Linked DNA regions of Oryzias latipes. The protein of the gene in region 1 interacts with the protein of each later gene in a pairwise test. Links are inferred from orthologs where the notes say so. Each region holds a gene or a part of one and is shown on either strand. Other genes may lie near its edges. The genes, in order: ras-related protein O-Krev and ral guanine nucleotide dissociation stimulator-like 2.

The links.
Region 2: the proteins of ras-related protein O-Krev (region 1) and ral guanine nucleotide dissociation stimulator-like 2 interact in a two-hybrid assay, tested with the Homo sapiens proteins (2 studies listed by BioGRID and IntAct). The link is inferred for Oryzias latipes from reciprocal best matches to the Homo sapiens genes RAP1B and RGL2.

The regions. Positions count from the first base shown.
Region 1 is NC_019865.2:21,754,950-21,771,230, forward strand, and holds the end of ras-related protein O-Krev, read right to left. Parts: intron 9,621-16,281; coding exon 9,477-9,620; intron 9,052-9,476; coding exon 8,965-9,051; 3' UTR 8,936-8,964; intron 6,521-8,935; 3' UTR 5,813-6,520; downstream 1-5,812. Other genes in the region: XK-related protein 7, read right to left, coding at 666-1,198. UniProt on the Homo sapiens protein: GTP-binding protein that possesses intrinsic GTPase activity. Contributes to the polarizing activity of KRIT1 and CDH5 in the establishment and maintenance of correct endothelial cell polarity and vascular lumen.
Region 2 is NC_019874.2:28,736,004-28,752,974, forward strand, and holds the end of ral guanine nucleotide dissociation stimulator-like 2, read right to left. Parts: intron 16,873-16,971; coding exon 16,825-16,872; intron 16,109-16,824; coding exon 16,028-16,108; intron 15,950-16,027; coding exon 15,783-15,949; intron 13,655-15,782; coding exon 13,598-13,654; intron 13,068-13,597; coding exon 12,871-13,067; intron 12,035-12,870; coding exon 11,913-12,034; intron 11,667-11,912; coding exon 11,451-11,666; intron 9,451-11,450; coding exon 9,347-9,450; intron 8,303-9,346; coding exon 8,218-8,302; intron 6,424-8,217; coding exon 6,364-6,423; intron 4,601-6,363; coding exon 4,514-4,600; intron 4,439-4,513; coding exon 4,406-4,438; intron 4,278-4,405; coding exon 4,156-4,277; intron 4,078-4,155; coding exon 3,994-4,077; intron 3,545-3,993; coding exon 3,451-3,544; intron 3,378-3,450; coding exon 3,153-3,377; intron 2,955-3,152; coding exon 2,840-2,954; intron 2,091-2,839; coding exon 1,909-2,090; 3' UTR 829-1,908; downstream 1-828. UniProt on the Homo sapiens protein: Probable guanine nucleotide exchange factor. Putative effector of Ras and/or Rap. Associates with the GTP-bound form of Rap 1A and H-Ras in vitro.

The DNA.
Region 1 (16,281 bases):
TCCCGAGTTAACAGCTGAAGGTATGGAACACTGCTAATCCTCTTAACGTGCAGACACGGCCAGTTCAAAGAGTGGCATGTACAACAGCTTTAACTGCACTGCTAATCAGTTTGTGTTTAGCAGGCTTTCTGTGTTCAAGAGGAAATGATGGATCAATGTTATCCTCAGAGACCACACACGACAGATGTTGTGTTTTTGAAAGCAGAAGCTCAGTATCCATCAATGCTCTTCCAGTCTGAGGCATGACTGCCCTACATACTGTCTATGGATAACCTCATCAGGGTGTTTATTGTGTCTTTTCTGTGTCCAATCTAAAACATGTTTACATGGAAGAGCAATAAACATTTGAAGAGACACTGAAACCCCTTTTAACGTGTACAAATCTTAAACGATTCATATCTAATCTCTTTCAGCCAGACCATTCATTTTCTGAATGATGGCTGATTGTTTGTCTCCAGATGAATGACCTATAAGCTTGTGTGGGGCTACAGGAAATGGGTGGAGTCAGAGTCTCCCATGCACTCCAGGCTGTGAAATCATATAAAAAGACAATTGAGATCTTCCAGAAATCTTGGGTTTCATTGGTTTAGGGAGTGGTTGTCGTCACTCAGAAAAGCAGCAAAAGGCTGAACTGTGGTCCCCAACAGAAGGAGTTTCAGACTCACCTCCAGACCTGAGCCAGCTGAAAGATGTGAATGATGGCCTGAAAGACCCACATGAAGGCTCTGCAGCAGCTGCGGGCTCCTCCCCCGGTGGCCGGCCCTGGCAGCACGGCTGCCGCCACCGCTCGGCCAGCGCCCCGCTCACCGCTGTCCTTGGTGCTGAAGTTGCTCTCCTCCGCTCCCGACGCAGCCACGACCGCAGCCGCCGCCGTGCCGCTGACGCTCTCCGAGAAATCGAAGGCGAACCATCGGAAGCTCAGGACTTGCACCACCACGGACGGGACGATCACAAAGACCAGAGTCAGCGCAAAGCACCAGTACTCCCTCCGAAGGTAGTAGTCGGCGGCCAGCCACAGGTCTGAGGCCCCGTCCCAGAAGAACACCAGCAGGGCGCCCAGCGTCCAGCAGCAGTCTCGCAGGGTGTAGCGCTGCTCGACCACGCGGTCCTGCGGAGGCCGCGGATCCGACCTGGGAGAGCTTTGAGGCGGGTTTTCGTTTCGTAGAGAGACGGGAGCACCATCAGATTTCGCGGCCATGTTTGTTGTAGGGAGGAGGGTCGGGGGAGGGAGGCGCTGCGCGTGGCAGGGAGGGTACAGGAGGGAGGGAAATCGGGGGGGGGGGGGGGGGGGGTCACCAGCTCTCACCGATGAACGTTTTAAATTACATTTATAACCCCCCACCCCACCAAACGCAGCTCTGTTCTCGTGGAATCTAAACCTATAGTTGGGTTTCCACGGTGATGGTTAATTCTCTTCCTGAGCGACTTAAACGCACTTTAGGAGAGCCCTCTGCTCGCTGAAGGGAACATCATCCTAACTTAGAAGTTTCAAACCAATGAACGTAGAACATTTTGGAGTATTTAGTCTGCAGCATCTCCGCATTAGATGGATTTATTAATACGTCTATAACCATCATCGTCATGAGTCGATCTGGAACTGCTGAAATATCTAAAATAGCAAGAGGGTTGAATGGGACATTGCAGTCTGGGAGGGTTTGAGATATTGTTTAAAGTTAATTGTTTAAAGTTGATGTACATAAACTTAAAATTGCATTACGGATTTTATGTGTATATGTCTATATGTTTATATGTATATATATATATATATATATATATATATATATATATATATATATATATATATATATATATATATATATATATATATATATATATATATATATATATATATATATATATATATATATATATATATATATAAAAACGCCCCTCTCACCCTCTGTGGGTGGTTTCTCCTCCAAGCTCGGGTCCTATACCAGAGGCCTGGGAGCTTGAGGGTCCTGCGCAGTCTCTTAGCTGTTCCTAGCACTGCGCTCTTCTGGACTGAGAGGTCTGAGGTCTTTCCAGGTATCTGTTGTAGCCACTCCTCCAGCTTGGGTGTTACTGCCCCGAGTGCTCCAATTACCACAGGCACCACTGTCACCTTCACTTTCCAGGCTTTCTCCAGTTCTTCTCTGAGTCCCTGGTATTTCTCCAGTTTCTCATGTTCCTTCTTCTTGATGTTCCCATCGCTTGGCACTGCCACATCCACCACAACGGCTTTCCTCTGTTCTTTATCCACCACAACAATGTCTGGTTGGTTCGCCATTACCATCCTATCAGTCTGGATCTGGAAGTCCCACAGGATCTTTGCCCTCTCATTCTCTACCACCTTCGGAGGTGTTTCCCATTTTGATCTTGGGGTTTCCAGTTCATATTCTGCACACATGTTCCTGTATATTATTCCAGCCACTTGATTGTGGCGCTCCATGTATGCTTTCCCTGCCAGCATCTTACACCCTGCAGTTATGTGCTGGATTGTTTCAGGCGCCTCTTTGCACAGCCTACACCTTGGGTCTTGTCTGGTGTGGTAGATCTGAGCCTATATATATATATATATATATATATATATATATATATATATATATATATATATATATATATATATATATATATATATATATATATAAGGTGGCTACTTTAAAGAACTTAGAATACGACATATTTTCAGTTTTTTCACACTTTTTTGTTATGTATATAATTCCACATGTGTTAATTCATAGTTTTGATACCTTCAGTGTGGATCTACAATTTTCATAGTCATAAAATTAAAGAAAACCCTTTGAATGTCAAAGTCAAAGTCAGCTTTATTGTCAAATATGCTGCATCCATAAGACATACAGCACAGATGAAATTGCTTTTCTCTCACCCCACAGTGCAAGCAGCATATAAAATAATAAATAAACGACTTAAAAAATAGATAAAAAGACAGTAATAGTAAGAGGAATAACAGTAGTCTAAACAGTGCTAAGAACAGTGGCATGGTTAAAGTGGCAGTTTAAAGTGACATCAGTGCTGAGAACGGTAAGTGGATGAGTCAGTGGTGGCAGTCTTTGGTTATGATGTGTTCTGAAATGGTGTGAAGTTTTCAATGTGAGCTTGTAGGATGGAGTGGAGGGGCCAGAGGGGGGAGGGCAGGGACAGAGTTGAGTGTCCTTATTGCCTGATGGAGGAAACTGTCTTTTAGTCTGCTGGTTCTGGCTTGCAGACTTTGCAGTCTCCTCCCTGATGGCAGCAGGTTGAAGTGTCTCTGGGATGGGTGTGAGGGGTCCCTTGCAATCCTGATGGCTTTGCGGGTGAGGCGGGAGCGGTAAACGTCCGAGAGGCCAGTAAGAGGGACACCAACGATCTTCTCAGCTGTTTTCACAATGTGCTGCAGAGTCTTCCGGCAGGACACAGTGCAGGCTCCGTACCACACGGTGATGCAGCTGGTCAGGATGCTCTCGATGGCGCCCCTGTAGAAGGTCTGCATGATGGGCGGAGGAGCTCTGGCCCTCTTCAGAATGTGAAGGCGTCCAAAACTTTGGTCTGTACTGTATATACAGTGGTGGACAAAATTGTTGGTGCCCCTCAGTTAAAGAAAGAAAGTCCACAATGCTCACTTAAATTACTTGAAATGTTCAAAATTAATACTAAATTAAAATTTATTGAACATTAAATAATCAAAATCAGCCATTACTTTTGAGTTCTTGATTAACAGAATTATTTAACCCTTAGTGCTATCTTAGATGACCCCATCCTTACATTGACGTGTTATTCCTACCATGACAAAGGTGGACAAAGGTGGAAAGATTTCATGTAATCCATGGTCACCAGTGAAGATCACAAATCATTGAAGAAAATAGGTTCAGCACGGTGTCTAGTGGGTCTAGATGACCCAACTCCCAATGTTAAAGTGCCTAGGATACCACAAGGGTTATAAAAACAAACTAATGAAATAGGGCTGGACAAAAATGACGGTACCTCCATAAAAGACTGAGAAATAATAGCCAACCGACAGTAGCCAACCTCCCTGGACGTGGCCGGAAGAGGAAAATTGATGACAATTTGAGGAGACGGATAGTTGGAACTGTATCCAAAGAGCCCAGAACAACCTCCAAAGACATTAAAGGTGAACTCCTAGATCAAGGTACATCAGTGTCAGATCGCACCATGCGTCATTGTTTGAGCCAGAAAGGATTTCATGGGAGACGACCAAGGAGGACACCACTGTTGAAAGGAAATCATAGAAAAGCCAGACTGGAATTTGCAAAAATGCATGTTGACAAGCCACGAAGCTTCTGGGAAAATATCCTTTGGACAGATGAGACAAAACTGGAGCTTTTGGTAAGGCACATCAGCTCTATGTTCGTAGACTCAAAAATGAAGCATACAATGAAAAGAACTTCGTCCCTACTGTGAAACATGGCGGAAGCTCAGTTCTGTTTTGGGGCTGCTCTGCTGCATCTGGCACAGGGTGTCTTGAAGTTGTGCAAGGTAAAATGAAATCTCAAGGTTATCAAGGCATTCTGGATAAAAATGTGCTGCCTAGTGTCAGAAAGCTTGGTCTCAGTTGCAGGTCATGGGTCTTCCAACAGGACAACGATCCAAAACACACAGCCAAAAACCCCCAAGAATGGCTGAGAGAAAAGCGTTGGACTATTCTGAAGTGGCCTTCTATGAGCCCTGATCTGAATCCCATTGAACATCTGTGGAAGGAGCTGAAACATGCCCTTTGGAGAAGACACCCATCAAACCTGAGACAACTGGAGCAGTTTGCTGATGAGGAGTGGGCCAAAATACCTGTGGACAGGTGCAGAAGGCTCATTGGCAAATAGGTCTTCCTTTCCTGGGGCGGTCCGCATGTGAGCCGGTTTCTTTGTAGCGCTTGATGGTTTTTGTGACTGCACTTGAGGACACTTTCAAAGTTTTCCCAATTTTTCGGACTGACTGACCTTCATTTCTTAAAGTAATGATGGCCACTGGTTTTTCTGTACTTAGCTGCTTTTTTTCTTCTTTCTTCACTTCTTAAACCTGACAGGGCACACCTGTAAAGTGAAGACCATTTCAGGTGACTACCTCTTTAAGTTCATCAAGAGAATGTCAAGAGTGTACAAAGCAGTAATCAAAGCAAAAGGTGGCTACTTTGAAGAACCTAGAATATGACATTTTCAGTTGTTTCACACTTTATGTATATAATTCCACGTGTTCATAGTTTTTATGCCGTTATTTTCATGAAAATAAAGAAAACTCTTTGAATGAGGTGTCCAAACTTTTGAGAGAGAAAGAGAAAGAGGATGCATCAGAATGGAGCGAAGCAGGGACTCACCCATTTCACTTGCTGCATCACAACAGAGCTTTTTTAAACAGCAGGCTATTGTCTGCTCCTGAGCAATCAGAGCTTAAATAAAATACTCAGTTTTAATCTTAAATTGTTTTGTCTTCCATCGTAATAAAAATGTCAGTCATAATTAAAAGACCACTGGAAACGCTTAAAAATAGTTTCAAATATGACCAGAGTGGGACTCTAAATGTGCACACTGATGCTTTATGGGTAAACGAGTTTGCTATTTTAGGGTTGTTTATATTTAAAGAACAAGTTCTTTTGTTCTTCATTAGAAATGATCATTGTTTCACATTCCAACTCATCAACTTTGCTTTCTTCTTTTGTTCCCATCTTCTGCTCAAACTCCAGGATCTTGTTTCAGTTTATGCTGGTTTCAATTAAAGCTGTGGAGTGAGATTTTTTATTTTATTTGGCATTACTTTCTGAGACGTCAACTGACAAGCACTTAAAAGACCCCATCAATAATGTCACAACAGACAAAGGAGATAATGAAAACGTACTAAAATTTAATCATTCATAAAAGCTGGAAAAATTTGTGACACAGCAACAACAAGCAATATTAGAGGTTGTTAAGTACAATTCCATCCTCAAGACAAATCAGAACACCCGTTGCCCCCATCGGTCTATAAAATACAAATTTCCTTAACTTTATTATGCAAAAGTGGAAGAACAATATATTATGGGGAAATATGGAAGGCTTGCAGCTGTCATTATAAAACAAAGTCACTTAGGAAAGATGTTATCTATGCACATCCTTGTAAGGAGGAACCAGTAAAGTATAGTTAATGACTCGTCTTCGGTGACACAGTTAGTGCAGAAATGTACAAGAAGACCAAGCTTTTACACAGGATCCTTTTCAGAAACATATTGTCAAAGACTGATATTACTTTGAATAAAACATTTTAGTTCCCATACGTGGATTGAAATCCACAGTCTATGTTTTCACATGAGACGTTTTCCAGAAGAAAGACACCTTGGATAAGAACAAACAAAAGATAAGAACAGAAATGAAAAACTGTTGTCACCAAGCCGACTGTACAAATTTCTTTGTCATTAAAAAGCAGAGAGGTTCTTAAAGAGTATGTGCCGTGTCTTGCGAGTGGTAAAGTTTCCGTCGGCCTGTTTCAAATTGCTCTGGCGAGGACTTGGAATGCTGGCACCATCCACTGGGAAACAGTAAATCATCACTTGTTTCTGCAGGTTTCACAAGAATGCAGCAGTTTGTTAGGAATGAACACAACAATGACTACAGCACAGTTTGGGTGGAGTTTAAAACATTTTAAAATGAAAACCACTGATACATTTACATGTCATTTCAGCTCAATTGTCATCAAGTAATAGGAAGATGACAGTATTTTTGTATTTTGTGAGCCGAATTACAGATTATCTAAAAGTAAATTTCTAATTTATCCCTCAAATGATTGTTTTCAATAATAAATATACTCTAAATCATCAAGAGGATGTTTATTTTACATGTATAAAATTGGAATAAACTTTTCTTCAGGAATTTGTTGATTAGAATTTGGTTTTTAATGACAGTTGTGCTTAAAATGTACCCAAATGGACTCATTAAGGTTTTAAAATAAAAAAACAAAATTCAAGCTTTGCATCATTTTAGATAGATGAGAATTTATGTTACTACATTAAGAAAATAAAAGCATTTTTGGTATTAATGACCTGTGGATTGTATGAGAGATCGTGTTCCCCCAACATTTAGAATCTTTTAAGAAATAAAAGCCAACAGGATATTTATTGACAAATTGTGTGTTTTCTTTCTTATAACAGTTTAAGGCTGCGTTCACAGTGCAGGCTGAAACGACCCAATTCTGATTTTTTTGCCGCTATGCGACCTGCATCTGATCTTTTCATGACAGTCTGAACGACACAGATCCGATCTTTTCAAATGTGACCCAGGCTACTTGGGTATGTGGTCCTGAATCCGATACGCATCAGATCTTTTGAAATGCGACCTCCGTCTGAACGGCCAGGCAACATGAATCCGACCGCACGTCATCGATATGCTACAAACGTCATAATTCTGCGTTGAAGTAGGCGGGAACAAGAACATAAACATCAACCATGGCGGACGATGCTGCTGAGACCAGTCAGGATGGAAGGAAGCAAGGTCACCGATTGGATTAATATTTGGGGTGACAGCTCTATTCAGGCCAAACTCAAGGGCTCATATCGCAACCGGGCGGTTTTTGAAAAAATTTCCAGCGAAATGGCCGAGCGTGGTGTTGAACCTTCCCCGCGATGACTTTTTTTCCTTCTTCTCCCTTTCTGACCGTGGTCAGAAGCGTGGGGGACAGAAGGCGGATCCTCCTTCAGGGTTCACTTCCCCGTTCGGACCCTCAGATTCTCCAGAGCGGGTTAAGAAAGAGTCAATAGCATTTATTCTGGGGGAAACCTTTAATTCTCGTTCTCCTTCCTCCTTTAACATACAACATGAATGCGCGCCGCCACTGCCCCCCTCATTCTCTACCTCGCTGCACGCGCTCTGTCCTGTCTCTTACACACACACACACACACACACACATGCGTGCAGCCCCAAGCACATACACATCCCCTTTCCACAACAGTGGATACAGACGATCCCGGCTCCAATGCCTTCTTAAAATGAGAAGATTGTAATTGTGCTGGCTCCTTTGTGAAAATAAATGTAACAATGCAAAAAGAGCTCCGCTGTTGATAACACTGTTGTTGAAATTCCATTGTTAACGTTAGCTACTTCCACAAACAATGAGTGATGTCGTTCACCATTGAGTACTTTTCTGCGCATGCGGGTCACTTCTGGGTCATTTCACACAGGAGATCATAAAAAATTTGCATTTAATTGGAAATGTTAACGGCCTTGCAAAAAAATTGGACTTTTACAAAAAATCGGAATTGAGCATTAAACCCTGCAGTGTGAACGTAGCCTTATTGTTCTGTTTATAAATCATATCCTCCTGACTACAGGAATTGCAAATTTGTTCTCTGTAGTGGTCATTTCTAAACCTAAATTTCTCCCCACCACTGCACACTATGGAATTAACTCCTTATAGGATCTACAGAGGACATTTTGGGCTTTTCAGTAAAACAAACGTGAAGGAGTGGAGCTCTGGGAATTGTAGTTTTTGGTGAAAAAAAAAGGGCCAAACTTTTTCTCTGGTAGGCAGGACGATAAGGGCTGTATTTGTATAACCAAAGCAAGGACAGCAACCTTGGTTTTTTTCATTTTCATTTATACTAAAGGCTTTTTAAAGTGGTTTCAGTGACCACTAACATGAGAAACTGTAGTTGCACACATCAACTGCAGGTGGCGTCAGATTTTTCATACCAACAAAAAAGACAAATCTTCAGGCAATGATGTTCATTTTCGTTAACCTCTACATTTCCTCGTCCTCATTAAACCACATCAAAACTGGCGTAGACTTTTTTTTGGTGTTTTTTTAAACTTTACAATCAAAACAGTCAAACAGCTTCAGGATTAGATTTTTAACATGAAATCCAGAAAATGATTATTTCCAGCACAGACTTCAACCTTCACTGACCACCTGCAGCTCAGAGAGCAGCTGCAGCTCAGCAAATGTCTACAATACATTTAACACCCACTCCGTCACTCACCTGGCCTGGAGCAACTGTGGGTGGCAGTCTTAGAGCAGCGTGCAGCCAGACTTCTTTTTTGTCTTCTTTTCAGGCGGCGATTTTCTGTTGATCTGTCGCACCAGATCATAAAAAATCTGCAACAGAGGGATGTGAACATTTCACATCAGCTGCACGTTCCCCAAGAGAAGAGCTCCACATATGGAAAGCTTTGTGCTAATGCTTTAAAAAGCTCCAGCTGCAGCTAAAAGGCATTAGGCGAGTGGGTCTATAGAGGAACCAGGATGCTGAGCTGCACCATCCGGGGGAGGCTCAGGAGTCAGATTAGGTGGTTTGGAGGAAATCCAGTGCTTGATTTTTTATTATAATTTTCAGTAAACCAAATCAGAATTTTGACATCAGATGAGGACTGGGCTCATTTATTGTAACATTTATTGTTTACAGGAAACAGCATAAATAACAGCAAATCGCTGTCACATGGCAAAAGTACTGAAATCTGAATGAAATCAGATGTGAGAATTGGTTTTCCAACAGAGCTGCTCCATGAACACATGACACTCACCTCATTAACGTTGATCTTTGATTTAGCTGAAGTCTCTAAAAAGGCACAGTTGTTCCACTGACGGGCCAGATTCTGCCCCTGCTCCTTTCCAACTACGCGCTCATCTTCCAGATCACACTTGTTCCCCACCAGGATCATGGGAACCTGATCAAGAGGAGGAAATGTTCAATTAAAAGCAGGATTTTTTTTAGCCACATAATAGCTTTCAAAAATTGGTTTGGCAGAATTCAAAGTAAATATGGTGCTTCAAAAAATAAGCTTAAGTCAATTGGTTTGACATTTGCAGCCAGGATTTACAAAATGACTGAACAGTTGAGGTCTGATGTCACACAAAAGAGGAAATGCTCATTGCTATGAAATGAACATATTGATTCTTGGTATGTACAGTGGGGCAAAAAAAAGTATTTAGTCAGCCACCAATTGTGGAAGTTCTATTTTAAAAGATGAGAAAGGCATTTAAATTTCATCATAGGTTAGGGCTGGGCGATATGGCCCAAAAATCTCCGATTTTATTTGTTTTAATTTGATTTCAAACCCCCCCCCCACTTAAAGAAAGCAATAAGTACAAACGGCAGACAACTTAAAGCAAATTTTGCTTTTATTTAATCAAACGCAAGACAAATGTAACCCCTATTTCTGGGATGAATAATAAATAAATGAATGCACTCTTGGAATCAAAGTCCCAGCTGTGTTTTAAGCCACACTTTGTAGTTTTGACTAAAAGGAGACAAACATTCACCTTGAGAGTAGCACCGCTTTCTAAAGGATTAACAATACAGCTCATATCTGGGGTCTAAGGTTTTAATCAAATGAATAAACCCCGTCTTCTCCACCGTATATATGGGTACCATGTCTTTGGCTATATGCAAAGCGACCGCTTCGGTGATTGTTCTTCAGTACCGAGCCCCGGTATTGAAAGAGTCCCGGTTCAACATTCTTCAAGACCGCAGTATCCAAAAGATCTGACCTTAACGGTTCTGCTATCAGTACTGGAGAAGTTGCTTTTTTTTGTGTCCCAAAAAATATAAACTAGAGCTGTGATGGTGTGGGATTTTTGATCACAGCGCTGATGAAGCAGCAGGAGCCGCGGAGTGAAGGAAAACAGTAAAAGGTTCCCCCCCAGGTGTTGGAATAGGTTTGTGGTGCTGCTGCCTTTGACTGCAATGAGCTTTAGGCAAATGTTGCAGCGTGGGGTCTCTTCCTCCACGTCTGTGGCAGCAAACCCATACCAGTTCCAATCAACAAATGATTTTATTCCTTTCTTGGGAACAAACTTCCCACTCTCACCGGTAGCCATGTTGTCGCTAGCTTTTTCGTGTGTGCTATGATGTTGTTGTTTGTCGCTTGCCATACCGCTGTGTGAAACTAACGCTACCGAAGCTCTGGGGAGCCAAAAATGCGCCATAACACAAAAACTCGATTTAGTTATTTTTTAAATTGCCTGTAACAAAAAATTCGAATTAATTCATTCAATTGATTTTTCGCTCAGGCCTATCATTGGTATATACCTCAACTATGAGACAAAAGAAGAAAATCAAACAGAAAATGACATGGTGGAAAATTACTAAGTATTTCATCAATAACAAAAGTTCAACTCTATACTTTGTTGTATACCCTTTTTTGGAAATGACAGCAGTCAAACATTTTCTCTAAGTCTTCACGAGTTTTTCACAAACTGTTGCCAGTATTTTGGCCCATTCCTCCATGCAGATCTCCTCTAGAGCAGTGATGTTTTGGGGCTGTTGCTGGGCAACATGGATTTTAAACTCCCTCCAAAGATTTTCTATGGGGTTAAGATCTGGAGACTGGCTAGGCCACTCCTGGTCCTTGAAATGCTTCTTACAAAGCCACTCCTTCGGTACCTGGGCAGTGTGTTTGTGATTGTTGTAATGCCGAAAGACCCAGCCACATTTCCTCTCCAATCCCCTTGCTGATGGAAGGAGGTTTTCACTCAAAATCTGACGATGTATGGTCCCATTCATTCTTTCCTTCACATGGATCAGTCGTCCTGGTCCCTTTGCTGAAAACCACTCCCAAACCAATTGCTGGCTGACTAAAGACTTTTTCGCCCCACTGTATTCTCTGGATATCTGACCATCTGCTTTGATCCGAAGCTGCATTCTGCTGCTGTAAATATCATTCAAAAAACAACAGACCCCTTCAGTCCATGCATCCTACAGAGTGTTTTATCAATGACAATGATTATGAAAAAGCTTCACCAGCTAATAACACACTAATCTCCAATTAAAGTTTTACAACAACATCCATAACTTGCATCTAAGGCTGGGTGATATGCAATGTTTTTATGTCACAATATAATTTATTATAGAAGGGGATAACAATATATATTACGATATAATCCAAATAACTATATAGTATATATGTCAAATTTGTACACTCTGCTCACAAGATAAATGTGTCATCATCAGCAGGTTGTTTGGATTTAAATATTTATTACTCATCATCCTTTAAACATAACAAATTCACTGAAAAACGAAGCATTAATTCTACAGATTAATTAAAATGTTTTCTAGTTGTACAGAACAAACATAAAATTGTCAAACCTTTTTGTCAACATGTGAAGAATAGTTAGAAACTGCCTTTAACTTTTATTACACTAATGGTTTAAACTTAATTCACTGAGCATGTATTGTCATCTCAAAATTATATTACATTTGAAGAAAGCACAGCCAAACTATTGTTCTAACAGTTTCTTCCCATACTCCCTCTTTTCTGTGCATGTTTTCTGCTGAGCAGGCCTCAGACTTATCTTCACTTTAGCCTTGGAGCTTCCCTCCAGCAGTAACCTGTGGGCGTTATTTTCACACGAGGCCCATCGGACGATCTTCTGAATATGCAAATGCAGGGTTTTTATACCAAAGCCCATCCCTGAGCTCGTTGGTTCGGACTTTGAATGTACCATGTTCATATGTCTGTCCCCTTCGTGTTTGGGCGAAGTAAAACCTCCACAAAAGCTAAGTTTTGTCTCTGAGTCATTATTCATTATTTCTGTGTGCAAGAAACTGATGGGGTAACGAACCTAAAAATATTCCTATTTTACAGTCCTTTCTAGAAAATCCAGTTTCTTCACATTTGGTCCTTCTGAGCCGGCCGGCGCGCGCCCTGGACATCGCTGGAACCCCTGGGGGGGGTTGCCTGAAAACCGCTAGCGGTCTGAGATCACAGCCTCAGCATTGACCAATCCGCCTTCAGGATCGGCGGCCCTCGCCCTTGGGTCCGGTGGTGCCCCCGGTGACGTCGGACCCTCATCAAATAGCGACGTTCATTGCTTGAAGTGAGTACGCCACACAGAAAGTCTGTCCTCTCTTTACTTGTTAGGGTTTTATGTTGACTGTGTCTGTGTCTTGTGTGTGGGTGCCTCATCTCTTGGGGAAGAACAGAGAGAGCCGTGTGCAGTCACAGTGCTGCGCGTGCACGCTGACCACAGGAGCGCCTGCAGTCAGCCTGCTGCGGGTGCATGTGTCCTCCTTCACGGGAGATGACAGGGAGAAGTGTGTAGCGTAAGAGAAAAACCCGTCGGAAGCTGTGTGTCCCCGACGTAGGGATAGATTCGGTTGAAACCCGTCGGAAGCTGTGTGTCCCCGACGTAGGGATAGATTAGGTTGAAACCCGTCGGAAGCTGTGTGTCCCCGACGTAGGGATAGATTAGGTTGAAACCCGTCGGAAGCTGTGTGTCCCCGACGTAGAGATAGATTCGGTTGAAACCCGTCGGAAGCTGTGTGTCCCCGACGTAGGGATAGATTCGGTTGAAACCCGTCGGAAGCTGTGTGTCCCCGACGTAGGGATAGATTAGGTTGAAACCCGTCGGAAGCTGTGTGTCCCCGACGTAGAGATAGATTCGGTTGAAACCCGTCGGAAGCTGTGTGTCCCCGACGTAGGGATAGATTCGGTTGAAACCCGTCGGAAGCTGTGTGTCCCCGACGTAGAGATAGATTCGGTTGAAACCCGTCGGAAGCTGTGTGTCCCCGACGTAGGGATAGATTCGGTTGAAACCCGTCGGAAGCTGTGTGTCCCCGACGTAGGGATAGATTAGGTTGAAACCCGTCGGAAGCTGTGTGTCCCGACGTAGGGACAGAATCGGTTGAAACGTGCTGTCGGCTGTGTGGACGGCTTAGGGACAGATTCGGTTAAGGCGCGTCGTGCACGGCATTTGGGAACAAACGGAGCTCCGGGGAATTCATGTGTGTGTAACGTTTTTTATGTCTTGTCTGTGTCTGCTTTCTGCGACGGCTTCTGTGGTGTATGCTCGCTTTGATTAATGCCTCATGATGGCTTTGATTCATATCTTATTCTAAATAAATGCATAATGAATATGGTGACTCAGTTGACAAATAATTAGGCTTCTTTTCTGATTCTCCAAGCTTTTTCTGCTGATTAGATTCAGCGCTGGAGGATCCATAAAAAGGGTTACTTGGGTGGGAGCTCTGGTTTGTGATTGAAATTGAGAAGCTGGTTCTCAGGACAGCCACATCCGCAAGGGATTTAGCTCTTGTAGAAGCCTGGTGTGGTCTATGAATTCCTGAGAACGTTGTGGCTGATCGTCATTCATAACCCTAGAAAACATGGGTGGGACTCATTCACAAAATCTCACTAAAAAGAAAAAAAGCACATTGATCAGGTCCAGAAAACTTTTCATAAAGTTTGGAAGTATGTGGGAAGTCAGGATCAGACATAAATCAAGTATTTGGATAAATGGTTTAAAGATTATGGATTTGATAGAAAGTTAAGCAGCCTCAGAGTGCAGGACAGAGCAGAAGGAGGGGGGGACAGCTTCACAGATCAGAGTGCGCGTGCCCGAGCCTGCAGACAGGCTGATGAGGACTCGCAGAAAGGAGGGGTGATTTCTCCATTGTAAGCAGATATAAAAGCTTTCTCTGCTCTCCGAATAATGATAGGACGTGTTTTAGTATGTTTTTTGGGGGTATTTTAGTGTTTAGGACATGGACTAGGGTAGATGTTCAGAAAAAGCAATAGAAAGTATCATTTCTTACAAAGCAGATGTGGATCATTTTGTGGAGGACAGACCTCCCTCTTGTATAAACATGATCAGACTCGGACGGCTGGTGCAGCCTTCCTTTTTTTTTTTTTTTTAGTTCACTCTCCCCTGCTCATAAAAAGTTTGATTGCAGCCTTCTGACCCCACTAATCAGGTCCCTGCATTTCTGCTTGTAAATCAGGATTGACCCCTTAAAAGCATTCCTGAGGGTCTCTGGTTCACTAACTCGCCTTACGTTTTTTTTAATGGACATGTCTGCTAATCGTTCTAAGTTTCAACTCTCAGGGGAATAAGTGCGGTAAGACTAAACTCCAGCTGGCCCAAGCACAAGTTAAAATTTTCGGGACATTTAGTTTCTGTTTCTAGCAAAATTATTTCTCTCCCCGGACCTCACCACCTTATCTGATCAGCCCCCACCTTTACTCACTCGCTGTAAGCTGCAGCTGCTTGCGCGGCTGATAGTTGAAACAATGTCACCTGTGATTCTCTTGTGCGAATTCTCCAGAATCACATGCAGTATGCTCCACTCCCTTCCGTCCAAGCATTACCATTAGTCAAACTGTTATCGGCCTGTTCATGCTACTGTTGAAATGAGACGCAGTTCTTGTCTGTTTCACTTTCAATGTGTTTTTTTCACAATTTTTATTTTTTTGATTTTTATTTATTTTATTTTATTTATTTTATTTTTTTCCTGATTTTTTTTTTTTTTTTCTACTCTCATGCCTGGCTCTACTGACACCATTGATGATTTACATGAGTATTTGAAGAAAGCTGTGAGAACAAAGGAACGCATTGAGTCTGCCTCCAGCTCTCTCCTCCCCACAGACTCTGCATCCTGACCAGAAGACCCCTGTCGGTGACCTGCTTTACTCGAAGGCCATTCAACGGACTGATTGGTCACACCCGAGGTGGACGGGCCCCTACAAGGTTCTCCTCACCATGCCACCTACAGTACACTTTGCTGAACGACCCTCCTGGATTCCCGTAAGCCACTGTAAATTGCTGAGAGCCTATGAGACTGACATTTTGAGACACATCCCTGGTTGAAGTCCAACTACGAAGCCGCCCCAGTGTGACACCACTCATGGCGAGGGGAGCTCCCTGGTGTGTTTCCTCTAGCGCTGCTCTCTTCCAGCTACAGTGAGCTTCGAACCAGCTAACATGGGTCCAGCTGTTCCTCGTGGTTTCATCTTGTACTTTTATTCCCTCTTCTTCTGGAGATCTCATTCACATCATCAGCGAGGTCAAGGCCCTTAAATCACAAATTTCTTCTCAGATGACTGACGCCTACTGGTCTGGGTCCCCACTTTATTGGTTTACTTCTGGTGGAGTGTACTGATAAAACTAGTCACTCCGGTCCTCTGTGTGTTGTTTTTCTTTTTTTCTTTTCGTCACCTGTTGGATTCCATGTGTCAAATGAATTATCGCTGTCAGGCCAACTCTATCAGCATTATGCCAACACTTAACCTAATTCGCATCCGCTCGTGGTTGAAACTGGTCTTTACAGATTTATTTTATTGTTTTTCTTTTGTTCGATTTCAATTTGTTTATTTTCTTTATTTCTTATTATGTTTCTTGTTCTATGTAACTTTAATTAATAATTTTGTGCCGAGGTCTGGACTGGTGATGCATGTGTATCCCTAGTGATGGCTGCTGAGGGGCACAGAGCCGTTGATGAGTTTTGCCCTCCCTGACTGCTCACTGAATGTTTCACACAGACGGTATAAGTTTAGCCCTGGAGGTTTTCGCATCAACACTCATGTATCACCTACCACCTCTGATATGCTC
Region 2 (16,971 bases), on another chromosome or scaffold:
TATGATTTTAGACTGTGGGAGAAAATCAGAGAAAACATGCACGAGGAGTTTATGCAAACTCAACACACAAAAAACCCAGCTGGGATCTGAAATGGGCCTTCTCGCTGTGAGGTGCAAGCGCTAACCGCTACACCGCGCACCATGCAGCCCCAAATGTTTCAGAATAAAGTGGGTTTGAGTGACCCTGATCACTGTGGGATCAGTAGCACACACAGGATCCCTGGCAGCCTTCGAGAGGCTCTGGATGACGCTCTGGATCCTTTACCTGCTCAATGAGGCAGAAGGATCACTCCATCTCAGTCTGGATGTGTCACGAAGAACCAGTTCCTCTAAATGCACAAAACTCCCCAAAAATGGCATTCAGGGAGCGCGACAGTGTGCAGAGACGCAGACAGGAGGTTTATGGATGTCTCTATTACATGAAGAGGACTAATTTCACTCAGAGACACTCGGGACACTTTCCACAGAGGATAAAGGAGACAGCCAGCCATGAGGCGACAGCAGCGCTGTAATACTTTATGAATTTTTAATAAATGAGTGCAGCTCGCTCTCTCGCTGTCCTTTTATGCTTGTGTGACATTTCCATCCACATGAGTTCCATCTGACCTTGATTATGCTTGCAGATAAGGACGTCGGCTGTCTTTAGTCCAATAAAAAGACCAGAGAGATGCATTAGCTGTCATTGATGTCAAATATAATCAGCCTGCTTTAAAATGTCAGCATTCAGTTGACATTTAGAGACAATCTTAGTTGCTTTTTTTTTTTATATAAGGAAAACTGCCCCCTGAATTAAATGTTTGTTACGGCACATCATCCAAACCAACCAAGTTCATATGAAAGTAAATTTATTACCACAAAAATAGGACATCCTGTATGTAGTGCATAAATAGCATTGATGTCAAACAACAGCGCTGGAGGCGGCGGCATTTCCTCCACGTGTACATTCAGCACATGACAAAGGTGAGCACCCAAAGGAGGAAGGCACTAAAACAGTCAGTAGCAAGGCAAAGATCATCAGCATTACCCAGAATCCTCTCCCGGTCCTGCAAATGCCTGCGCTTCAGCCGATCGAGCGGCCTCATCAGCTCCAAGCGGGCTGACCTGGGGTCACAGGATTCGTCTGTTCGGGTTCAGATCTCACCCCGTGAAAATGGAGCTGAGGCTGATGGGAAATGGAGGCTTAGCTGATGCTCAGTTAACCCTTCAGGTGTAAAAAAAAAACATGTTTTGGGGGTTTAGCTGTGAGCTTAAAGCGAAGCCAAATATTTTAAAGTGCTTTTTCAAAGCTGCAATAATTCAATATTTCCTGCTAAACTTTCAACTTTTCAGTGTTTTATCACATCTTTTTAAATGTCTGACATCATCTACCGATAAATTTTTTTCTCTCTAAATTGTTGGACATGAAGCTTTTAAAGACAATTATGGTTTCAGGGGTGAAAAAAAAAATGCTTCACAGAGCAGCAGATTTGGTCAAATCCTTGGCGCCATTCTCCATCAAACAGTGATAAGAGCAGCCTTTAGCTGAGATGGAGGGTTAAAAGAATCCACTTTGTTTTTGCACTTATGCTTTTTTTTTTACTTGTCAACCAGGAAGCTGGAGCTCTCTGTCAGTGTAAACACAACACTGACGTCATACAGACATATAGAAATATATACAAAACATGACTCATCTGCATACAGCAGCGCTTTACTGCCACGCGGGAAACTCCAAGCTCCTCTCCGATCAGGAATTTGAAAAGCAAAACGAACAGGGATGTGGAAACCAGCACCTGCTTCCCACTGGGAAATAGTGGTGCATATTGTTCAGGAGCGCCGACTCAGCACACCGTCAAACCCCTTGTTTTTGGTGTTTTTGGCAGATTTATGTGTTCAATGAAAAACAATCTGTGGCTGAGGATGAAGCTTTCGTCAAAATAAGTTCCGGACCAGTCTCCGCCCCTTGGCCTTGATCCGAGGAAAGGTGGCGCTGGTCTCTGGGCTGATTGACGGCGAGCAAAAGGGACTGTTCCCACCTTTGCTTCTCAACAGGAAGTCAACGCTGGATGAGGACATGGCGTAGAAGACGTTTCCTGTGGGCGGGATGATGAGTTCTGAAAGCAGATGGTGTTGGCAGAAGTTTAGAGATTCTGTGTTTGTGAGGCAACTGGACCGAGATTCCCACAAACGATTCATCACAGCCAGTGATGAGATGCAGAACCGTGGGTCTAAAAGCACTTTTACCAGCTCAACTTGTTTTTTTCCTCTATTGCTCCTTGTGTTCTTTGGATGAGCCACGCCTGTGGAGAGTTAGTCCATCATTCCACACCTCTGTGGAATAATGTTCCTGTTCTCCATTTCCTGATCCCTCTGTGCATCTTCATGTTCCTGAACATTATTCACAATCTTTACCTGATTGGTCCAACATAACCTAAATGGTCATTTTTGTTTCTTTCTTTAAATATTCCAGAACTGTTGCTTCCCAAACGTGGTTTTATTTACCAGATTTAGTTCAGTTTATAGCCTGAGAATGTGATTTACTTTTGTGGTTCCTGACAGTGTCCTTTCACAGTTTTTAGTTCTTCTTTACAACATTTTTAGTTGTTGAAAGCTCCAAAAATAGACATTAGCTGATGTTTTTAAGTTTAATCTTTAGCTAAAATACTTAGGTTTTGTTAAAAGGAAACGAATCAACAAGAAATCAACAAATTACATTGTAAATTCGACTATGTGACACATTAATAACGACTTTAACCTAAACTGCCAAACATGCGTTTTTTTTGTTATGTTTATGTTAAAACCTTTTCTCTTAATTTAAATGAGACAAGCAGTTTATCTTGGGAGTTTGGTGATGTTTTTGTACCTTTTCCTTCAGGCAGGAGCTGGATCAGCTCGAATCTTGATGCCTGTTTGGGGTCCTGATTGTGCTTCTCTAAGGCAGAGCTGACCACAGTGGGGGTCTTGTCATTGCTGGTAACCTGAGGGAGGAAGAGGAGGAGGATAATGACAATGAGGCAGCTAGATGTGCTGTAATCACACACTGGCTTGGCGGTGTGATGCCAGCCTGATCCTGATGACCGTCATTAGCGCCCTCGCAGACAGGAGGAGCAGCTGCAAGTGCAGCGTGTGACGCATCATCCGGAATGACGGCGCTGCAGACCGTTTCGTTTTTTTACCAGAATGCTTCGGTACAAGTTTCCATCATGCAGCTCCATCCGAATCTTGATGATCCGTATCTCGGGCCCTGACCCCTGGACGCTGGCGATGGGAGTGGTGCCGCAGGAGGCGGATCTCCGGTGAGACTTTGTGGGGGTGGATGGAGTGAGGGAGGCGGGGGTGGAGTCATTAGTTGGAGGCGATGTGTCGACATCCAGACAGGATACAGAGGGAGACCTCATGTGCTGCAACAGAAACCACAGGAACCCTGCAGTTGTAGTCGTGCGAAACAGAGCCAACCGGGCTTTAGCGAGTTACCTTTGTGAGTTTGGAGAGGAGGTTATTGACCGGGGAGTGAAAGTCAAAGAAACCCTCGCCATCGCCAGACAGGCTGCCCCGGGACGTGCTCAAACTGAAAACACACCAACACTCATTAAAGTCGTTTGGCGAAGCCGAGACTCCTGCCTGCTGATGAGTCTGTGAGCCGCCAGCAGAGGGCAGCAGATCACTTTCTCTGCACCACAAGCATACCAGAAGAAAAAAGGAACGTGCCATGTTGAAGAGTGAATCAGTAAAAGGAGAAGTGGACACAAAGTGCACGTGAAACTCCAGCGCACGTGAAGGTTTCCTATGTGCAGAAGGCCCTTCATATTTCCTGATGGTTTGTTTGTCGATCCCAATAAAATGCAAAAATATTAATTTAAAGAAGACGCAGAAACTCATGTGGTTCAGGACGCGGTTTTGTGACTCATTAGCTTGAGCTCTGCCTGGTCGTCACTGTGGTGTCTTTCTAGAAACTGTGGTGTCACAGACACCCGGTGTCGGGTCGCATGTGCTGAGTGTGGGAGGGGCTCAACTTACTCTGGACACTGTGTGATGATGACAGCGGGGGCCAGGCAGCGGGGGCTCTGCTCCACAGGTTCGATTTCATTGGAAAGCCTGTAGCTGCAGTGACACAGAGCATTCAGAGGTTACATTCAGAGCGCTGAGGATTGGGTTCAGATGGGGGGCTGGGTGGGGTACCTCTGCTCCTCAGTGAGCGTGGGCACGCTGTGGTACCACTGCATGAAGGCCTCATCACTGACGAAGACACAGTTTTTGCAGGAAGACTGTAGGAGGCGGATCTGAGCTAAAACCTCAAACTCCTGTGAACAGAGAACTTTACTCAGCACGACAAAGCTCCTGGACCTTCATCAGTCCCTGCATACTCTTCCTCCGATCTGCTTTTTTTTTTTTTTTTGCACAGAAAGCATTGTGTGCATGCAACCCTCACCCTTCTCCTTTTGTCAAAGTTGATGTAGCCATTCTGCCAAAGGAGGAACAGGATGTTAGCTCATCTGAAAAGGTTAAAACCCAACCCTGCAGACAGAAGCGCACTCACATCCAGGCGGTCTTTGACGGCCGTGTCCAGCATGGTGAGGTCGGTCAGGAAGATTCCCAGGTATGGCACGGTGCCCTGAGCGTTGGACTGAGACACCAGGAGGAAAAAAAGTGTTGCATCTGTTTATTTACCAAGCCCCCCCCCAACCGCCCCACAAAGACAGAACTCCAGCCTGCAGCGGTTTTTCAGGAAAATGGCACTGTGCTCCACTTTACTGCTGCATCGATTTCACCCATTAAACCGCCGATCACTTGTTATTCCACTGTCTGCACTCTCCTGACCTTCCAACCGCTCTTTTAATTCCCCACCTTTGTCCCAGAAGAAGAAAACTTTTAAAATATGAATACATATATTCCCATTTGTTGTTCAGATTCGTTATTTTTGATGTACAGAGGTTTTGATTTTTTTTTTCAAAAAACATTTTTATCAGATGACCTTTAGAGACCGTTCCTTTCCATTTATCCACATGTCAATGAAACCCTGATGTTTTACTCCTTAATTGGAATATGGTCAAAAACTCAGCTTTTGTAACACTTTGATCTGCTGCTTCCCTGTCAGAACTTTTCTGGCTTGAAAGAGCAAAGAAAACAGCCGCTACTCTGTGACCAGTTTAGTAACAAATAACTGATGCTCTGCAGGTCATGTGAGCAAACCGAGAAGCTCCACAAACGCAGAACCTTTTTTTATTTGGTCCCAAACGTGATCAGCTCTCTGAGACTTCTCGAAAAGTTTCTAAAAAAGAATTGACACAAAAATAAAATAAATGAACCTTGTTGCCGAATTCCTGGTACGACTTTAAAAAAGTTCAAATAAGACACAAAATTGCCAGTGTCTGACTTTTTCTAAGCAAAATACTGATGTGATGTAAACCACAAACAAACCAATGTTATAATGCAGAAATACAGTATTTATAAATGTGTTTTGTTAAAGTTCCTTTTTTATTATTAATATTTATATTTGATGCAAATATATGTAAATATCTAGATTTTTCCTTTTTTTTTTACTCTAAAATTTGTTAATCCAAAAATTGCACAAGAGGGAGATAAACAAGTTTTCTTCTTTCTGTTCCCTGTCATTTTTCTTCTATTAGAACTTGTGCTAGATCTGTTCTTTTTGTTGTTTTGTGGAAATGAAAAAAAAAGAAAAAATTGAATCGAATTTAAAAAAAAGTTTCTATTTTTGAGCAGGAAATCTGTCCGCTGGAACATTTTAAACTTCTCAAATGCACTCTCTGTTCTGCAGTACCGTCAATGATGCCGGCATCCTCACATGTGGAGGAACCGGCTCCTCCGTGACACTGAACACGCGTGTGCACGTGCATCCACAGCAGCCTCTGTTCACAAACACGACTCCAGAACGCAGCCGCTTCATCACCGATTCGCCTGCTGCCTCTCAGCCTTTTAGTCAGCAATTAGAGTTTCTGTCACACCCTCTACTCAATTCAGTAAAGACACGCTTCCAATGAATCCTGTCTGCTTGTCTTTACACATCAAAAACAGGAAAACCTGAAAGAAAAGCTAATCATAGATCTTGTTCTGCACACCTTGAACTCAAAGTCTGCCCTTAAACTTTTACAACAAAGCGGCTGGTGCCTTTTCAGGCTCTTACATCATTTCTGAATCTTTCCAAGCTGTCATGAATGCCTGTGGGGGTGAAACTCCACCCCCAGGCTAAAACACTTCATATTCATGCCAGACACCAGCAGGAAACTTCAAGACGTCATTTCACTCTTTCATGTTTCTGAACATGAGACGACGTTTGGGTCTATGATAAACAATAACCAGGAGGTCGTATTAAGTTGATGTCTGTTGTAGAAGGTCAGGCTGAAGCAGAACCTCAGCAGCTCTTACCCGGGTAACGTGTCTGTTGTTAAGCCTGTTGTCAAGATTGGCGAACTTCGATGTTCCCTCCTGAAAGACACACAATAAAAGTGGAACATGTTTGATCTGATCTCAAGATCTCCATCAGTGCTTTTTGGTTCTGATTTAAGAGCAAGAAGCTCTGTTAATGCAGATAAAAAAAGACAGAAGAAGGAAAAACACATTTGCTGCAACATTTCAACCCGCCCCACCTGGTCAGTGATATTCATAGTCACACATTCACTGCGAGAGCAGAACTGCAGATTTAAACTACGTCTCTTGGCTGGCCTGGGACTGGGAACGTTTTGCCCCCCCCCCCCCCCCCCCCCCCAAAAAAAAAAAAAGGAGCTGGAGGAAGTGGCTGGGGAGAGGGAAGTCTGGGCAGCTTTACTGAGACTGAGACCCGGTCCGGATGAGCGGAAGAAGATGGATAGATGGATGGGTGAGTGTGTAAATGTGTATGTTTTGTTTCTTGAGTGTGTGCTTGTGTGTATGTGCTAGTGTTTAGGTGTGCATGGACGTGTGTGTTTGTGCGTACATAAGTGTGTATGTGGGTGTGTATGTTAGTGTGTATATGTGTGGATGTAAGTGTCTTTAGAAGTGTGTGGATAAGTACATTTGTGCGTATGTGAGTGTGTTTAGGTGTGTGTGGACGTGTGTGTTTGTGTGTACTGTATGTAAATGTGCAGAGGTCAGTAAATGCATCACACCGTCGATCATTTTTGTCTCTTTTTCCTCTTAACTGACCTCAGACACCCCCCATATTCTACAGATTTGATCACACAAAGTTTTTTTTAGTCAAGTTTTGTTCTTTTTTTACATCCCAAAGGATCCGGTTCATAACTGTCTGCCACTTTAAAAAAAAAAAGCTCAGACATGAAAGATGTAGCAGAGAAATCAAAGCTCCACCCAAAAGCTGTGGACTTTTTCAGAAGAAAAGACAGTAAACGTTTGCATGGACTCTTCTGGGGGGGGTGAAACTTCACCACCACAGCTAATCAAACTAACCGTAGCAGCTTCCCAAAGTCAGAGCAGACTAAATATAGCGTTTCTTCAAACGGACGTCTGGCGGAAGTGAAAGTGCTGACAGAATCGGAGCATCAGCTGTTTTCTGCTCTTTAAAGCCCTTTAACGCACCGACCGGATTCCTGATCAAGCAGCTGAGGTCTTAAATGACTCCGACTGCAGGTGAGATGATCATGCTGTCAGAACCTGATCAGATGTTCCTGCAGGGAAAGGCTTTGGAGGAGATTTGGGGTCTAAAGCTTCAGTCAGGACTGACAAATGAGGAAAACAGAACGTCCGCAGGAAGACTTCTGTTGACTTAGTTGAGTCCTTGGCTTTCCCTGCAGCGGCTTTGCAACGTTTACTGGCAAACATAGTGGGAGACGGTTGTCTGCCGGTTTCCCACGTGGACTTGACCACAAGTTATGCGAGTTAAAACCCAAAACACGAATCTGCAGCTTATCAGGAGAAAGCATCTCTGAGGCCTGTTGAAGCCCTGCAGGGGGCACACGAGCTGCCAACAGCTGCAGAGACGTCAGAAAACAAAAGAGCTTTTGAAACCCGACTCCCAAACACGGTCAGGGTGCTCAAACTGGCAGCTTTCCCCTCCCAGCAGAGGCTCTGAATGACTTCACCCGCCGTCCCATAACAGGAGATGCACAAACACCATCATGGACGCCTGGCATCAAACCTCAAGCACGTGAGCTCCGCTTTCCGAGTGAACCAGCTCACCTCTGAACGCCCCGTGACCTCGTGACGTCGCCCCACGTCCGCTCACCTCACCCGGAAAACACAAAGCCCTATTCATTCCGCTCCTTCCTTATCTGCAGCACAGCTCACCTCCTTCAGCAGCTCCCGCGTCTGTGAGTAGTTGTCCTTGTCGGAGAAAATCTCTGCCAGCTCCTCGTATCTCCTCAAGGCCTCTCTGTGAAGGAAAAGGTCAAGGGTTCAATTAGATTCCCGCTTCGTTTAGATGTACAGATGACGTAAAGGCGATCTGCACCAGGAGAAATGAAAAGTACAATAGCAAGGATCAATCTATCACACTTTCACATGGAAAAAAAGGACGGAAAACTTTTGTTATAACTCCTTCTGTCATTAAATACTTTTAACTTTGAATTATTTTTAGTCCATTTTAAAATCGGATTTTTGACACATTTGAAATTTTCCTCTAATACATTAATAAAACCCCTTTTCAATTCATTTTTAACAGTTTGACCTTATTTAATTTAAAATAAAAACATTAAAAAGTACATTTTTATTTGCATTTCTTTTATTTGTTTAATTTTTACGAAAGTATTTCTACTTTTTCCAGCCGAAATGATGCAATGTCACTGCATGTGCAAACTAATATATTATAACCATTAATCACTAGAAAAATATACTTTTAAATAACCCAGTTTAACTTATTTGAAATTTAACTGAGATATTAAAAGGACATTTATCTGTAGCTTAAGTTACTGTAAGAAGTAACACAATAATAAGACTGAATAACACAATGTTTCTTAAAGTTCATCAGTAAATGTAAAATATTATTAATTTTACCTTCTTCTATTTGATCCATTTATGATTTTAATCTTTTATTTTAAAAGTTATCTTGCTGTATTTTCAGAATAAAAGACTTGGCAGATCTTAAAATGGAATTAAAAGAACCTTAGATTATTGTTTTATGGAATTGTTTTCATTAATTTTGAACCAAATCAACCCATGACTCTGAAGTTGGGAAGAAAAACAAAGTCCTCCCCATTCTGAAACAGCTGTTGGAAGTGTTTCAGCTTTAAACATTTAAAGGGAATTTGGCTAACATGCAAACTGAGGCCTGAAGAATGAGAGAAAAAGCTCAATTTCCAAGTGGACCGCCCTGTCCTAACATCTCGCTGCAGAGCTATTGATCATCAGTTTCTCGCTTTTTCATTTGTTAGATTAGTCTGCTTCTGCCTCTCTGACTTGACAGAACTACGTCCCACACCTGTCGGTGTCGTGCCACGTTCTCCTCAGCCGGTGGATGGGGTTACTCTTCAGCGCCGAAACGACGGCGTACAGCGAGGAGAAGTTCTTCCTGGCTCTGCACTCCTGTTGGAAGCACAAACACACGCATGAACAGGCGTTTGCATGAACAAACACAGACGCTCCTTCCTCTGTTGGATGAGGATGGAATGGCGAGGAAACCAATGAGAAACCAGCAGTGAGCCAACAAACCACAGTTTGACCAGAGATACCCTGCAGACAGAAACCCAGAGTCTGTGTGTGTGTTTGCACTGTCATCGCTCTGACATAACGCCGAAAGCTGAGCCAAACACTTTGTTTGCACACAGCTCGTATATCATAAATGCCCCTTAGAGTTAGAGTTCCCTTAGTGTGACTACAGATCGGGAAACATGGAATGAAAACATCTTTTGTGTGCCAGAAAGGGAGTTCAATTCCCACAAAATTTCCCATGAAAAGAAAAAAGGAAAATAAAAAAACAAAATGAAAAGTTTTACACATTTAAAGAAGGAGAACCTAAATAAGTACACCTTCTTTCCCCAGCCCATCATAAATAATGAATTAATAGAGTTTCATTCCATAGAAAAAGTATTTCAAACACACAAGGGATTTTTCAGCGTAAAAGTCTATTTATGGTCATAAAGTCCCACTTCGATCATCTTTTGATCTGTTTTCAAAGCGTTCCCAATGGTCTTTTCATTATGGTTATGAAGTTTTTTGCCAAAATATAAGGAAATTAAATTGTCGCTTTCCAGGACATAGTTTCTGCAGAGCAGCAAGAGCTCATTAGAAATTAATCTCTGAGTTGTGGACGATACTGTTGGCGTGAAGTTAGCCCTGCCCCCCCCTTTCTATTACCCATCTGTTTAGATGCTCTACCACTAGCTCACAGCACCTCACACCCCCAACATAACATCAGGGGTGCAACAAAAATGGCGAGCAACATTGGAACCATCCAATTTTGAGCCCGATTCTCCCAAAATCTTTAGGTAGTTTGAATCAGAAGTGAACTTTCTTTTGCGTTTGTACCGTTGTGCTCTTGAGCAAATGAACTCAGGGAGACTTTCCCCTTTAGAAATGTTTTCCATCATTTCAAGCCATCCCTCGCCATCACACTGCCATTGCCGTGCCTGACTGTTGTCCTGAAGTTCTTTTGTTTTGTTAGTGTGACCGTAGATGTCTGGGGATTCACTCCTTCCATTAAATTCCTTAGCAGAACATCAGTCCAGATGTTTCTCTGTCTTCTCGCTGCTCGCCAGTGTTACTTCTTGAACTCTTCCATTGATCCATGTTTGTCCAAGTCTCTTTCCGACTGTTGAATCGTGAACTCTGATCTTAAAACTTGCACATGACTTGGCTGGTCTCAAGTTTTAAATATTGTTCCTGAGAGTCTAAAAACATCCCAAACGTGATTCCAGCTTCTCCATTTGGTTCAGGTCTCAAAACTTCACTTTTAGGTCACTGGAATTTTGAATTTAGTCAAATATGTGAACACCAAACCTTTCACAGAGCTGTCACTCATATTCTGATCCGTCACAAGTTTGCAAAAGAGGAAGAAATGTGACACAACTCTTCGGAGGGAGGGGCTTACAACCTCTGCAAATGAATTGTGACTGATTGGCGACGAAAGTGAGAATCCTTATGCAAATTTTTACTCTACACTTTGTTGAGAGTCTGCGGTGAATTTGAAATGTGACTCCAAATAGAAACCTTTGTTACTGTTTTGGCTGGATGGCTCTAATATTGCTCGCCATTTTTGTCGCACCAATAATGTTAGTTTGGGGTTGTGAGGAGCTGTAAGCTAGCAGGAGAGCATGAAAACAGAGAGCTTTCAGCAGCAGGAAGGGTAAAGGGGGGCGGGGTTGCTATGGGCCAACAGTCCAACCCCCAACTCAGAGGTGAGTTTCCAATCAACTCCTGTCCGTCTGCAGAAACTGTGTCCGAGAAAACGACAAAGGTTTCAGATTTTGGCTGAAAAAACGGCATAATCATAATTAAAAGACACTTTAAAAATATTTGTGTATCATTAAAATGTTAATGATCACTTTATGCAAGTATGAAATCATGGAGGGTGCCATTCCACTGACCTCTGCCACGCCGATCCACTTCTCCAGCAGCCGCGCCCTCTGCTGGCTGCGCAGCGTTGTGGGCCAAAGACAGGAGGCTAAAACGGCGTTAGCCAGCTTGTTGAATTGACGCACGGTGGCCCGGACGGACCAACAAACGCCCTCTCTGCCCTTCTTGTCCCGCTGAGACCACAGAGAGCCGAGACAGTGGTACGGGACCAGACGGACAAACAGCTCCTGAAAAACATGGACACTTCCTGTCAGCGCAGATTAGACGTCCTTTCCAAAAAGATCTAAGGTCCCGAGCCGTCAAAGAGAAATATGGACTAGGTGTAGAGAAATTAAAAATAGAACATTTCCTAAAGTTTACTGCATCATCTGAGGCTGAAAAGCCTTCAGAATGTTTGACTGTTAACATCTAACTTTTTAAGAAACCTTTAATAGTTGCAGCAAGAAGAAACCATACTGTTAACCTGAACTGACCGTTTCTATCTTGGTGAGCTGCTCGGCGATGAGCGACGAAGGAAACCCCAGGATGCTGGTGGGTTCAAACAAGGACGGGTTGGGAGGGGGGCTGTCGAAACTGGACCGATCTGCAAACAAAGCTGCTGCTCAGTGAGGACATGAATCTGTTGTTTCAGAGCAATTCAAGAGACAAGTTAGCCGGAGATTTGCATCATTTTAAAAGTGGATTTGTCATTTCCACTAAGAATGAGTCTTTTTATTCCTGTTCCATTGAAAAGCCACCATTTGAGTCCTTCTCTTTTTCCAATTTGAATTAAATTTAACATTTTAATAGCTTTATAAATACATTGAAATGCATGCTTTATCGCTTTAAAAAAAATGATATTATATGTTTTAATGTTTTATGAGAAACAAGAAAAGTGTGTTTTCATCACCTAGCCTACCATCTATTTTGACCTTACTGAAAGTTTAATTAAGAATACCAACCAACACTATTTTAAAAAGTCAGTACATTGTATATCAATCTAGAGCTCCTTTTTCCTTGCAAAATGGTAATAAGGTCACTGTTGAATATTAGAATTTTGCTGCAGAAGATCAGCAAAAACAGGAAGGTAAGCTGCAGCCGTGAACAGACAAATGTCGTTGGGCTGAATAATTCCAGAGGATCTGCAGCTTGTTGTTAGCAGGATTAGGGCGTGTCCAAACATCACGCCATCGACGCTGCAGCAGCAAACCTCGCTGGCTCCAAGCTGCACCTCCAACATTTTTAGTCAAACATCTCCAGCTTTGATCCGGTCATGCTAGTTAAACATTTTGACTCCAGAAATGTGAAGATAAACATTAAACCCCCCAAAAATTTGCCATTTTCTTTTCTTTGATATTATGCACTGAGTGTAAGTATCTGTTTTTTTATGCATTAGCAGCTCATTTGTTCAGAATTCAACAACTAATATAATATTCAACTAATATTCCAAACCTCTGCGGGAGTCGAGGAGCAGGGCTTTCTCGCTGAGCTCCTCTGCGATCCTCAGGAGCTGGGCACGGAGGTCAGCTGCAGATGATGAGTCCTGAGGGAGGAGTGGAGCCAAGCGGAGCAGACAGGTGGGATTTCCCAGACTGTGGAAGTCTTCAGGATACTCGGACAGCCACGTCCTGAAGACGGTGCACACCGCTCTGCAGAGGAACACAGAGCATGCAGACTGACTGACTTCCATAAACCGAACCCTTCCAAGCCATCAAGTAAGAGAGGAAACTATAGGGATGCATCATCCAAAGTTTGTGGGGCTTTTCAAAATAAATGTCTCAAACGTTTTAATAATACTTTGCATCTTACAACACTTTGACAGCAGGGAAAGATTAGAAAATAAGCACAGAAAAGAACTTTTAATAAAAAGTAGAGAGAATTGTATATAAATAAATCATATCAATATAAAAAAAAAGGAAATTCTGTGATTAAAACACTTAAAAAATAAGAAAATAAATATGATAAAGTATTAGAAGAAAATGAAGCAACTTGCTGCATGAACTAAAGCTGCTGCAGCCTGACTGCATCCAATGCAAGCAGGAAGTTAGGATTCACATTTAAATGTGTAAAATTGGGCTTTATTTAAAGTTAAAAAAACAAGAAGTAGAGCGACCTTCAGAGCTACACATATTTAAAAATAGAGTGAAGTCAAAAGAAAAAACGTTTTGCAGAAACTCACTTGTTGAAAGCCTGTCTGATGTGGCTTCGCTCGCTGTCGCCGGGTGGATTCTCTAATCTGGAAGCAACAGAAAAATATTTAAATGAACTTTTAAGTAAAGCTCATTTATAAAAAAGTAGAGCATGTAAACAGAGAGCTCTCAGCTATATCAGCACAAACAGTTGCGCCCACAACTCAGAGGTGAATTTCTATTGAACTCCTGCTGCTCTGCAGAAACCTTGACCAAGAAATGACAGGTTTTTTGATTTTGGCTAAAAACAGCATCATCATGATTAAATGACCGACAGATATCGAAAGGTTATTTATTAAAAGAGAGGAAAAATACAATTTTAGGGAAAAAAATTAATTTCTCATACATAAAGCACGTACAAATAAAAAAAAGATTTTGTGTTTCAGTTTGTGAAGTTGTGGAACAGAGCCAGTAAATACTTGAAACAATTTCGAAACATAAAAGAATTTAAGTATAAATACAGAAATATGATCATTGACAAAAATGTACAAATACCGTATTTTCCGGACTATAAGTCGCACCGGCCCAAAAATGCATTATAAAGTAGAAAAAAACACAGATAAGTCGCACTGGACTATAAGTCGCATTTTGACGGGAAATTTATTTGACAAAATCTGAGACCAAGAACTAATAAGTTCCACAACCTCATATGACACAATCATAGCAGACTGTTTATCTCATAATTTCACAGTAATTCTTTCTCATATTTATTTATTCCTTTCATGAAGCATCATTGGCCAACTAATACTCTGTTTTCATCCTGTATTTGTAGAAACAGTTGTCATTTTTATTGCATTTCTGAATCTATGAAATCATTGGATTATCATCCAATCATTAGCCTTCAAGATCTTACTGTAAAAAAAGGTTTGCTGATTCTCTGAGTCACTTAACACACTCTTAACACTTAACATACCTCATACATCAAATTGACCCAGGAACATCATCTCTGTTACTCACAAATGAACATAACAGGAGGGTTAACGATGTATTTATTTCAATTTATTTCTAATATAAGTCGCTGCGGAGTATAAGTCGCACCCCTTGCCAAACTATGAAAAAAAGGGCGACTTATAGTCCGGAAAATACGGTACAAAACAATACAGAACATCAGCCTTTGTAAATCTGCATACTTAGAAAATACGTTTTGTATTTTTCTGGAAATAAGAATTACATTTGCAGCTGTAACCGAATATACACTTGGGTAAGGCGCTGGACTTTGATGGTAGGTGTACTGGGTTTAGTTAGGAATGTAAGGACTTAAAGTAAAGGGGGTGAGAGTTTATAAGATTTTTCTTCTTCTCACTCCCTTTTGGACTTGTGTTGTTCATATAATTTTGTCTTATATCATTTTTGTCGTGTTTTTGTCTTATTTTGTTATTCTACACTTGTTTTCACTTGTCCAAAATAAAAAGGTTACTTACATACTTACTTAGTTAAAGAGTACCGGAAGCACTCTGGTTATAGATAAAAAGATGACCAGAGTGCGACTTTAAAAGGTTTCTTAAGAAGTTGTTTACTTAATCAAAGTACTTCAAACTGAAGACGTGGAATTTGTGATGCAGTGTTAATGTGACCTAGATGACCTCCATGATGGAGAATCTTCAGAGGAACTTTATGAACCTTTTTACATTTAAATTGTACTATTTTACTCCAAACGTAATACTATCTTTTTTAGTGTTTATTTCATTTCTATTCTTTGTTGATTACAAAAGCAAAACAACATTTTTGCAATTCCAACCATCAGTCCAGCAGAACATGTTTTCATGATTCCAGCTATGCTTTCAAGTCTTATTTCACATTTATTAATATGTTTTTATCTTACAGTGATAAATTATGGTCTCAGTGTTTGTGACCCTGGAGTGTCTAAATTCTTCTTTTAACTCTAAACGGAAAAAGTCCTTAAAGTATCTGATAAGAACTGTCTGAATTCAATAAACTGTTAAAAGAGGATCCTTTTTTCAACTCACATTAGTCAAATAAAACTGATGTTTTTTAAGTTAAGCACTTAGATTTTATTTGATAAGGAATATTTCCCTGCCATTTAAAGTGGTTTCTTGTGGTCTTTGGAAAGTTTTGTGTGACATTTATCTTAAAAATAACAATTTGTGCAAATTTATGGTTTTAGGTCTTCAGCACCGACGGATCCTGTCGTCTGAAAGTTAGTTGGTCAGTCACCTGTCAGTGAGGATGCCCAGCACTCGCTCGGTGGAGGTGAAGGATCGGTATGTGGAGAGGAAGATGGTGATGTAGGAGGAGTCCCCCAGCGAAAACGAGTGGAGGAGGTGGAGCACCAGCTTCTCCTCCGTCCCCGCTTTCACGCACTGAGAACGAAAAACGGCCGGCTGAAAGACGACGGGAGATCTGCTCAAAGGGTCCTTTCTAATCCCTTTTTATGTGAAGCTTTGGGCAGAAACACTTACTGTCGGACCGTGGGGGACACCGTGCTGTTTGACCACCACTGTGTAGATCACGCCGTCATCCTCTTCCTCTGCAACTGTGGACTAAAGCAGAGGAAACGTAAGCTCCTTGTGCTTTGCACACAAGATAGACTTCACAAAAGCTTCTGGAAAACATTTTGGGATAACAATTTTCTCCATGTATTATTTGGTTCTTTCATCCCGTCCTGTTCTCCAAACCCGGGAGGTCTGTGAAGCATCAGATAACACAGGTGGTGACATTTTTTCAAGTGACAAACTTCAAAATGAATCGGTATTTTTCCAACTTAAGCTTTTTAGTGAAAACATTAACAAAACAAAAAAAGACAAACATGCGTCTTTGTAACGTTTTAATGCAAACTTTGACGTGGAACAAACAGTCGCAAAGGACACAGAGACGAGAAACACAGAAGATCCGACTAAATTCAGAGTTGTGCTGAAGTGAGGTTATATTTTCTGCTTTAATAAAATCTTTGCGGTCATCTCCATGTGACAGAACCTTTAGACGACTCCTGATTTCTGTGTAATGACTTTTACTCTGCATGGAAAAGATTATTTTTGGGGGGGGTTATTTGCATTTTCTTGTCTTCACAAGCACAGAGCTGAGTTTTTCCGATCACGTTGCTTTTCTGAACACCTGTCAGTGCTCTCACACCTCGAGGTTTGTGCTCCCACACGCTACAAATGTTAGGTTTTAACCTCAGGCCGAGTCCCCGACACCGTGACCTCATTCTTCACAGCTAATTGGCTCACAGTGCATGCAACTGCCTGCAGGCTCTTACCAAATCGAGGGGACAGTACCAGGTGGTCTTCATCGGTGACAGCTCTGCCTGAAGAAGAGACACGACATGGATCGAAGCGGGTTTTTACAGAATTCACTGAAACATAATAAGGAGCTATACGACAGCCCAAATATCCTTTGATTGAGA